2 linked regions of the Alligator mississippiensis genome follow. The protein of the gene in region 1 binds, or shares a complex with, the protein of each later gene. Links are inferred from orthologs where the notes say so. Each region holds a gene or a part of one and is shown in the gene's direction. Other genes may lie near its edges.

Region 1 (4,531 bases):
GTGATCCCAAATGTGTGCCAGTGCCATCCCCCATGGATTATTAGCCTGCCCCTGATTCTAGCTCTCATTAGCAAGTGCATAGGGTTACCATATTTCCAGTTCAAAAAGAAAAAGACACCTGTCAGGTGGACACCTCAGTCCCAACCCAGAGCCTCCTGGCCTTGGCCACCACCCCTCGCTCCCACCCAGCAGCCCCCCCGCCCCTGCTGGAACCCCTCAATCCCAACAGACAGCCCCTCACCCCCCAACTATGCTGGTCACCCTTAGTCCCAACCTGCAATCCCTGGACCTGCCAGTGACCCTCATTCCTGACCCACAGTTCCCCACCCCTCCAGCCATGCTGTTGCCCCTCGCTCCCGACCCACAGCCCCACATCCTTGCTGGTATCCCTCACACCCGACTGTCCCCAAACCCCATCCCTCCAACCCTGCTCCCCATACACTTACCTGCATCCAGCTGCCGAGCCTGGTCCCTCTGCCCTGCCTGGTTGCACGCTAGCCATGTGCGCATGCACGCTCAGATGCTCATTATGCCCCACTCCCTCCAATCACCCTTCCCTTGCTCCCACCAACAGAGCAGAGCAAAATCCCAGACGTTTGTTCAGAGTTCAGAAAAATGCCCAGACGGAAGTCGGAGGACCCAAAAAGAGCACGTGTCTGGGAAACCCAGATGTATGGTAACCCTACAAATGCAGCAACAGCAGCCACAACGTGTAATACATGTAATGTGTACAGGGGGCCTGAGGGCCCTGCTACACGCTCAGATTAAAGCTGCATAGAAACCACCTCCGGAGTTGTGACCTGCCTTCAAGCCCTAACTTTCGAGCTGGTCGGCTTTTTTGTTATAGCTGGAGAGTCATTGTTAGCGCGTGACAATTACCTGGCACTTCTGGCCAGTCTACATTTATTGCGTGACTGACCAGTGAATTGTGCACTATAGGTAACGTAGTAGGGGTCTGAGAAACCAGCCTTGGACGAGGCCTCTTGTTACGCCAGCGCAGTGCAGCTTGGCGCGGAGCTCGCGCGTGCGGACACGTCCCAGGGCAACGAGGACTGCTGCGACTAGCAGCCGCCGGACAGGGTAGGAGAGCGCGGAGGACCGCCCCGCCCTCACCCGCGCCCAGACCGGCGCATCTCTATGGTCGGCGCCGGAAGTACCTCGCCATTGGGCGAGCGAGCGAGTCGGAAGCGGAAGCCCCGGGAATGGAGCGGGCCGCGGTGCTGGGGCTCTTGCTCCTGCTGGGGGCCCGCGGCGGCTCCGGGCAGGCGGCGTTGGAGCCGCCCCAGGACAGCCTGCGGGAGGAGCTGCTGCTCAGCCCGCTGCCGTCCGGAGACCTCGCCGCTACCTTCCAGTTCCAGACCCGCTGGGACTCGGAGCTGCAGCGGGAGGGAGGTGGGCAGAGCCTGGAGCGGGGGGCGGGGCCTGGCTTAGGAAGGGTGAATGGAAGGGGCGGGGCCTGGCCGAGGAAGGTGAGTGGAAGGGGCGGGGCCTGCTGGCTTAGCTGTGCCCACAGGTGTGCAACCTTGGCCCTCCCCAGTCTCTCACTACAGGCTCTTCCCCAAGGCCCTGGGGCAGCTCATCTCCAAGTACTCTGTGCGCGAGCTGCACCTGTCCCTCACCCAAGGTTTCTGGCGCACGCGGACCTGGGGACAGCCTCACCTGCAGGCCCCGGCTGGAGCTGAGCTATGGGTCTGGTTCCAGGACTCGGTCACCGAGTAAGTCTCTCCTAGCCTGGGTCCTCTCTCCCAGTTGAGTGGGGGTGCAGCTATCACACCTCAGACAGCAGCCCGCACAAACGGACTCGGTCTGGCTTTGAACCAGGTGGCTCGGGTGCTGCTTGCAGCGTAGCAGTGGACGCGCAGGCTCACTGCATGGGAATCTAGAAGCACAGAAAAGCAGGGCTGGAAGGGACCTCGGGTGGTTGTCTAACCCAGCCACTGCTCCAGGCAGGAGCACCTTGCCTAGACCGCCCTAAGCAAGGGTTTGTTCCACCTGCTCTTAAGAACCAGCCTCCCCCCAGCTACAGGCGCAAGTGGCCAAAGCATCCAAAATACACTTTAATTTGCCAAAGGTAAAGCGGGGGCACAAGGACACCATTAAGGTCCTGCCAATACAAGGAGAGGAAGTGGTTTGTTAAAATACACTCGAGATCCAAGGAACCTGACTGTGCTCCCTGCTACCGGGGCCTTGCCTTTGCTCAATAGCTGCCTGATGATAGTTCTAGTTGCAATACCTGTGCATATCTTGACATTTTTCTCCTTGCAATGGTCTGTTCATTTTCCAAGCACCTGATGTGAAACTTCACTTCCCACAGACCCTTTACATCTGGGGAAGAGGGCCAGTGGTGTAATCTGTGGCTTTCTTGTTCAGTGTTGACAAGTCCTGGAAAGAGCTCAGCAACATGCTCTCGGGGATATTCTGTGCCTCCCTGAACTTCATTGACTCCACCAACACAGTCACTCCAACAGCATCATTCAAACCTCTGGGCCTAGCCAATGGTGAGGCAGACTTGTGCTTATGCAGGGGTGGCGGCGGCTTTACCCTGTGTGGGGAGCTCCAGGCATTGCTTGCTTTGCTATGGGTGGCATAGAGCAAGGTCCTGGGAGGAGTGAGGATGCTGACAACCAAAACACTGTTCTGGCAAGTGAACTTAGAATGGCTGAGATCTAGTAGACAGGAACAGCAAGGGCATCAGTGATGCTAGTTTTGCCTCAATTCATCTCTGGAAAGACCACTTCTAGGGGGAGGTCTGCCTGTGCTGAGAACAAGGTCAGTTAGTTCCAGCTGTGGCAGTGACAAGCATGCAGGGAGCTACATTACTGTCAGAATGGGACTGAAGCCCCAAACTTTTTTCAGGTTCCTGGGCAGCTGGAAGCTATTTCCAGTCCCCACTAACTAGGGCTAGATTTGAACCAGTGAACTCAAGGTACTCTCCTTAGCATAAGATATTGTGCAAGAAGCCCTGTCATACAGGACCCATTTCCTTCTGCACAAGGATTACAGACAGTTGCAACTGAAGACAGGAGACTTCCTTGTTTATTCAATGTGGAGAGGACTATCTTGCAGAGGGGCACTTAGCTGGTCCTCAGGATCCATGCTGAAAGTGATCTCATCCCTTCAAGGAATTCTAGATCTTTCCTAAGCATGATCAGCCAGATGACAGAGTAGCTCTACTTTAGCACACGTGATCATACTAGCCCCAGGCTGCTTAACCTCCACTTCCCATCTCAGTCACAGATCACCACCTCCTGAGATATGCTGTCCTGCCCCGTGAGGTCGTCTGCACCGAGAACCTCACTCCTTGGAAGAAGCTGCTGCCATGCAGCTCAAAGGTGAGGGCACAGCCCAGGCTTTGTGCTACCTGACCAAGTCATCGCCAGGAGCTTGGGCCTAAGTTCTTAAACAGCAAATGGTACCAGATGCCTGTAGTATCCACTGGTGTCATGCTTCTATTGCAGTAGGAGCAGGGGGACAGGAAATTTGGCGCTTTGAAGCCCTCAGTAGGTCCTTTCAAGCCTTTCGGACACATTCCCCAGCCCCTTTGCAGATTGCTGCTTGATATTTAATAGCATTTTCTCCTTTACGTTCTGCAGGCTGGTCTTGCTGTGTTGCTGAAGGCTGAACGCTTGTTCCATAGCAGCTACCACTCACAGGCAGTGCATATCCGCCCCATCTGCAGGGTGAGTCTGGGCCTGAATTTGATCTACCCGCAACTTTCTTATGTGCCTCCAAGAATGCAGTTAGGAGGCATCTTGCAGTAGCTGAATAAGATCTCAGTGCTTTTGGAATGAAGCATATAGCTCAAATATTGGGGTTGTTTCCAAATATAGAGCTCTAGTAGTGTTCAGAGCAGTTTCCAGGAGAAAATGGAGGAAGCCTCATTTCTTGCGATACTAGAACCTGTGCCAGACAAAGCCCTGGAAGATGCATTCTAGGGAACCACTCTATCTTGTTCCCTGGGGAATGGGCTAGATGGGATTCTCTCCATCTCCAGCCTTTGTGTTGCCATGCTCCACTCCATAATTAGTCCCCTTGGGACTCTAAAATGTGTCTCATGGCCCGTCACAATGCATCTTGCCCTTTGGGAAAGTAAGTTTGTATTGAATAATCTTTTGTATATCCTGTCATCTTCTCCAGGATGTTTCATGCCTCAGCATTTCCTGGGAGCTCCGACAAACTCTCACTGTGGTCTTCGACACCTTCTCCAGTGGCCAAGGAAAGAAAGGTAACCAGTAATCTGCAGCATATGGTAGGAGGAGGAGCTACCTTCAGTCTCATTCTGGCTGACTTGTGTGTCTGTCTTTCCCAGACTGGTCCCTTTTTAAGATGTTTTCACGTACTGTCACTGAAGCTTGTCCTCTGGCCTCTGAGAGCAAAATCTATGTGGACATCTCCAGCAAGGATCAGGTAACATTTGTTCACATCTTATCCCATGTAGCTGAAAGAGCCTCCTGCAAAAAGGAACTGTGATTGCCCATTGGTTGTCTGCCATCCCTAGATGAGATTAGAGCCAAAGCCCTGGCATGCCACC
Region 2 (4,531 bases), on another chromosome or scaffold:
GCTGCAGGCCTCGGCCCTCAGCGCCTGGCGTGGGCAGCGGGACAACGAGAACATGGCCACCGAGGAGTTCATGAAACGCGCCGAGGTGAGGAGTGGGGTCGGGGTGGGCAACCCCCTGCTCCCTGCCTGGGCCGCGGGCGGCCTGGCGCTTCCACGAGCCCGTGGCCGGCGACGTGGGGGTGGGACTGGTGCGTTGGGCTGGGGCTGCATGCTAACATGAGCAGTGCCCGTCGCGGGCAGGGCTTGGTGGTCTGCGCTCCTTGTCGGGGGCTTGGGCTTGTGCCCGGCGTGGACTGATGGGTCTCTCCGGCATCCTAGGTGAATGGCCTGGCAGCTCTGGGCAAGTACGAGGGCAGCGGAGAGGACTCGGGCGCCGCGGGGCAGTCCCTGTACGTGGCTAACCATGCCTACTGAGCCGGCCGGCGCCAGCCCGCCGACCCCTTCTGCTACCTTCTGTGTCCGCCACCACTGCACCCAGCTTTCGTCCGTAGCCGCCAAAGGAGCCACGTAGCCGCTCCGCGCCCAACCGCCAATGCCCGAGAGAGGCGGCGTGGAGAGGGGGAACAGGAGCTCATCTTGCTTGGAAGCGCAGACCCCTCTCGTGCTTTGCCCGTGCCCGATGCCCTAGCGTGGGTGGGGGGCTGGGGCGGCTGCACTCGCTGGGGCGTCGCCTGGGGCTTCCTCCCCGCTTCCCCCTGGGTGAGGTGGTGGGAGGGGAGCGAGCCCGGCGGGGCAGGGGGGACCTCCCCGCTTTGGGGCAAGGGCAGCGCTGCCCCCCATGAGCAAGAGTGCACCTTGTGACGCCGTCGCTGTCGCTGGCACGTGCTCCCTGCCCCGTGGCAGGCGAGCCGGCCCGCGGGAGCCACTTACTGCCGCGTGTGTTGTGTTCTCCGTGTGCACCCGATGTACCAAATAGTCTAACGAATAAACTGTAGAGAGTGACGCCGTCTGCTGTGTCTGTGCGGGGGCCAGGGGGGGGCACGGTGGGGGAGGAGAGCGGCGCGGGGGCACCTGGCCAGGGCCCCTCTCCGAGCCCGAGGGACCATGGGGCGCCGGGGCTGCAGGGGTGGTCCTGGCTGCAGGGGCCTGGCCGGCCTGTGGCACCCGGCTGGCAGGGAGCCGAGCCGCCGGCTTGCAGCCTCCCCCGGCAGGCAGGCAGGCAGGGAGGGAGGGAGGGACGGAGCGCCTGGGCCCAGCCGCTGAATCACGGCTCCGGAGCTGCCTCCGACTGCCCTTCACGTGGCATCAAGGACATGTGTGTCAGGACAGCTCGGGAGACTCCTGCGTCACGGTTTCGGGTGCTGCCATCACCGGGCCCAGTCCTGCCGCCGGGCGAGGGCTCCCCCGGGGCTGGGGGGTCTCCAGGGGTGCAGCCCCTTGTGCCCACCTGTGGCGCGGGGTGGGACAGGCTGCGCTGCCTCCCCTGCGTGCGTGGGGGTGCTGGGACCCCCTCAAGCGCCTGTCCTGCCCCAGTGCTGCGCAGGGTGGGGGCATCGCTGGGAATGTGGGGGGGCACCCGCCTCCCAGGGCAGAGGCAGAGGCAGGGCCGGGGGGTGGGGGGCATTGCCACCCTGGGGCAGGGCCATAGAGGAGGAACCGCTGCCCCATTGCTGTCTGGGAGGGGGACACTACTGCCCCAGAACAGGGGGGCACAGCTGCCCGGGGGGGAGGGGCTCGCAGCTCCTTTTGGTCTGCAGGGGGCGCCCCCCCCCCCCCAAGCCACGTGCCGTCCAGGCCCCGCCACGTGCCTCCGGCTGTGCGCAGGCGCACCTGAAATCCCACGAGCCCGCGGGCGAAGCAGCCCTAGGCACGTCATGTCCCTTCCAGGCTGCCGTATCCGGCCCTGCCCCGCCCCCCAGCGCTGATTGGCGTAGAGCGCTGTCACTCTGCCCGGGCCCCTGAAGCCCCCGCTTCCCGGTCTGCGTCAATTGGCAGTCCGCGGTACGACCGGGCTCGGAGTGGCTGGCTTCTACGCAGGCCCCGCCTCCCACGCGCTCCGCGGCCCGGAAGCAAGATGGCGGCGGACGAGACAGGTGCGGAGCCGGGAGGGGGCGGGGCGGCCGGTGCTGCTCCCGGGGCCTGGGCTCGCCCCCAAAATGTGGGGGAGAGCCCCGGTGTCTGGGTCCCCACCCCCCAAGTCTGGGGGAGAACCCAGGTGTCCAGTCTGTCACCCCCCTCCCCTAAATCTGGGGGAGCCCCCCTGTGTCCAGGCTATCAACCCCCCTAAATCTGGGGGAGAACCCAGGTGTCCAGGCTGTCACCCCCCGCCCCTAAATCTGGGGGAGCCCCCCTGTGTCCATGCTGTCACCCCCCTAAATTGGGGGAGCCCCCAGGTGTATGTCCCATCCCCCCCCAGCTGGGGGAGCCCCCGTGTCCGGGGTGGGGGGTGCTGGCGGCAGCGCCCCTCACCCCGTCCCTGCGCCCCCAGAGAAGGCACGCGGGAAGCGGGCGGCGCTGTGCTTCGCGGCCATCGCGGTGCTGCTGGGGCTGCCGCTGTGGTGGAAGACGACGGAGACCTACCGCGCCTCGCTGCCCGACGCGCACATCGCCCGGCTGGACGTGCTGGCGGTGAGGGCCGGGCGCTCGCGGCTGTGGCAGGGGCGGCGGGTCCTCGCCCCTGGGGCCGGGGGGACACGGGGGCGCCGGCGCGGGCGGACCCGGGTAACGGCCTTCTGCGCAGTTCCAGCTGACCGTGCCCATCGCCGTGGTCTTCGCCAAGGGCTCCCTGCCCGCGGCCCAGCAGAGGCGGCTGCCCTTCGCCGACACGCGGGAGGAGGAGACCCCGCTGAACCGTAAGCCCTGGGTTTCCAGCGACCGGGTGCTTTCTGCTGCCGTGCTCGGGGGCGCTTCGTGCCTCTGTGCCAAGGCTGGAGCGGGTCTCGCTGCAGCCCTGGTGAGAGCAGGCGCTGGGGGGAGAGGGCAGGGACTCCTGACCGACCGCCGCTCTCCTGGCCACCCCCAGCCTGGGGGATCCTCGCAGCCAGGCCGCGCGGAGCCGCGCACGCGGGGGCATCTCCAGGAGCGGGGCTGGCACTGTTGGCCAGCAGGGCTCGCAGCGTGGGGGTGAGGCCGGGGAGCCCGTGGCTGGGTCCAGTGGCCTCACTCGCGCTCTCCCTTCCCCGCAGTGAGGACCAGCGTCGCCGCCCGCTATGAGACCGCTTACCGGAGCGCCACGGGCCAGGAGGAGGCAGCCTTGGCCCTGGGCACAGTGCAAGGTGTGGGGACGGGGCAGCCCAGGGCATGGTCCTGGTGGCTGGCTGTGCCCTGGGGGCGAGTGGGGCAGCCTGGGAAGTTGCTGTATGCGGAGGGATGCAGCTCTTACCCCAGGGCCCTGGGGGATGCACGCTACCCTTCCCTCTCCCCCACCTGCAGGGGCCGGGCAGGGCTGGGCGGCCCCAGGGAGGGGAGAAGCTGGGACCCTGGGGTGGGGGCAGTGCGGAGGTCTCTGTCTGTAAGAGCTGGTGGTGGGGATGCCCTGCCTTGGGTTCACCAGCACCGGGGTGACCGATGTCCTCGTCTTCTCCAGAGGCCGATGCGGCACTGCTGCCACTGCAGGGCGGCTCGCTGGGCTCACTGACCATCTACATCATCCCAGAGGCCTCGTCTCTCCTGCCACAGGTACAGCCTCTCCTGCTGCTGGGAGTGCCATCCAGCTGCCCATCTTGCTCGGGACCGACCCTCTGTGCCTGGCGTCCCATCACGGGCTGCCCTCCCCGGAGCAGCTCGTGGGTGCCCCTGGCGTGACTGCAGTGGGTGGGAGCTTGTCCAGCGAGATCCCCTTGCTTCTGACCCTGCCCAAGGGTGGCTGCGGCGTGGGAAGCAGCCGAGCCTGGGTTAGGTGCAGCTGCAAGACCTCCCCGACTGCTGCAGGCAGGGACGCTGTTCGTCTGCCTCACGGGTTTCTCTGCCCCTTCCCTCCTGGCTGTTCACTGTCGGGACAGGCTCTGTCCCCATCCCTGTCCCAGGGACAAGCCTGAGGGGCTGGGGCAGGGGTCCCTGCAGCTCTCCCAGCCCCGTCATCCTGGCGTCCCCATGGGCTGGGCCTTGCCCTGGAATGGGTGGAGTGGGCACGTTCTGCCACGTCTGGCTCTCGCTGCCCTGCCCGGTCTTGTCTGCAGGGGGTCAGCGTGTACATCGGGAAGCACCGCAGCGCCGTGGTGAGGGGCCCACCAGCCGCGGGGGATGTCCTGACTGCGGTGAATGCCCGGGTGCGGCATATCGCACAGACCATGTCCTTCACCCCCGACTCCATCGCTGCTGCTCTGTCGGACCGTGTGCCCCTGGGCAACCTCGGCTTAGACACCCGGCGCCCCTTCAAGTCCAGCCTGGGTAGGGGCTGTGCCTGCCTGCCTGGCCGGGTGGGATGATGCCTTCCCATGCAGTCAGGGCACTGCTCACCCATGGGAATCCTGTGCCAAGCTTGCCCGGCTATTCCCTCCCCCACGGGGGCTGTGGTACTGACGGTACTGTCGTCTTTGCCTGTGGCACAGGGCAGTTGTTGAGGCCCAAATGTTACCCCTCTTGGTACTGG

What was found. Proteins that work in one complex are often made in the same cells at the same time.
Region 2: the proteins of PIGT (region 1) and PIGS are in contact, whole or in part, in a cryo-EM structure (PDB 8IMY), measured with the Homo sapiens proteins. The link is inferred for Alligator mississippiensis from reciprocal best matches to the Homo sapiens genes PIGT and PIGS. Residues at the interface, in NP_057021.2 of Homo sapiens: Pro26, Arg27, Val63, Ser64, His65, Tyr66, Arg67, Lys71, Gln75, Lys79, Tyr80, Val133, Gly136, Lys191, Leu193, Pro194, Cys195, Ser196, Lys198, Ala199, Glu270, Pro271, Pro273, Leu274, Tyr526, Ile529, Cys530, Cys533, Val536, Ala537; in NP_149975.1 of Homo sapiens: Thr9, Glu12, Val13, Gly16, Ala19, Ala20, Phe23, Thr230, Pro238, Lys239, Tyr244, Ile247, Glu248, Val251, Gln256, Val270, Asp271, Ser272, Gln273, Ile274, Tyr276, Tyr277, Met279, Ser309, Arg310, Ser313, Ser314, Ala315, Ala316, Phe513.

The regions. Positions count from the first base shown.
Region 1 is NC_081832.1:7,988,270-7,992,800, forward strand, and holds the start of PIGT (GPI transamidase component PIG-T), read left to right. Parts: upstream 1-1,182; 5' UTR 1,183-1,202; coding exon 1,203-1,392; intron 1,393-1,537; coding exon 1,538-1,715; intron 1,716-2,370; coding exon 2,371-2,498; intron 2,499-3,231; coding exon 3,232-3,332; intron 3,333-3,593; coding exon 3,594-3,680; intron 3,681-4,137; coding exon 4,138-4,225; intron 4,226-4,309; coding exon 4,310-4,407; intron 4,408-4,531. UniProt on the Homo sapiens protein: Component of the glycosylphosphatidylinositol-anchor (GPI-anchor) transamidase (GPI-T) complex that catalyzes the formation of the linkage between a proprotein and a GPI-anchor and participates in GPI anchored protein biosynthesis.
Region 2 is NC_081837.1:1,026,668-1,031,198, reverse strand, and holds the start of PIGS (GPI transamidase component PIG-S), read left to right. Parts: upstream 1-1,926; 5' UTR 1,927-2,014; coding exon 2,015-2,033; intron 2,034-2,428; coding exon 2,429-2,568; intron 2,569-2,680; coding exon 2,681-2,792; intron 2,793-3,125; coding exon 3,126-3,215; intron 3,216-3,526; coding exon 3,527-3,618; intron 3,619-4,118; coding exon 4,119-4,329; intron 4,330-4,531. Other genes in the region: ALDOC (fructose-bisphosphate aldolase C), read left to right, coding at 1-85, 319-414. UniProt on the Homo sapiens protein: Component of the glycosylphosphatidylinositol-anchor (GPI-anchor) transamidase (GPI-T) complex that catalyzes the formation of the linkage between a proprotein and a GPI-anchor and participates in GPI anchored protein biosynthesis.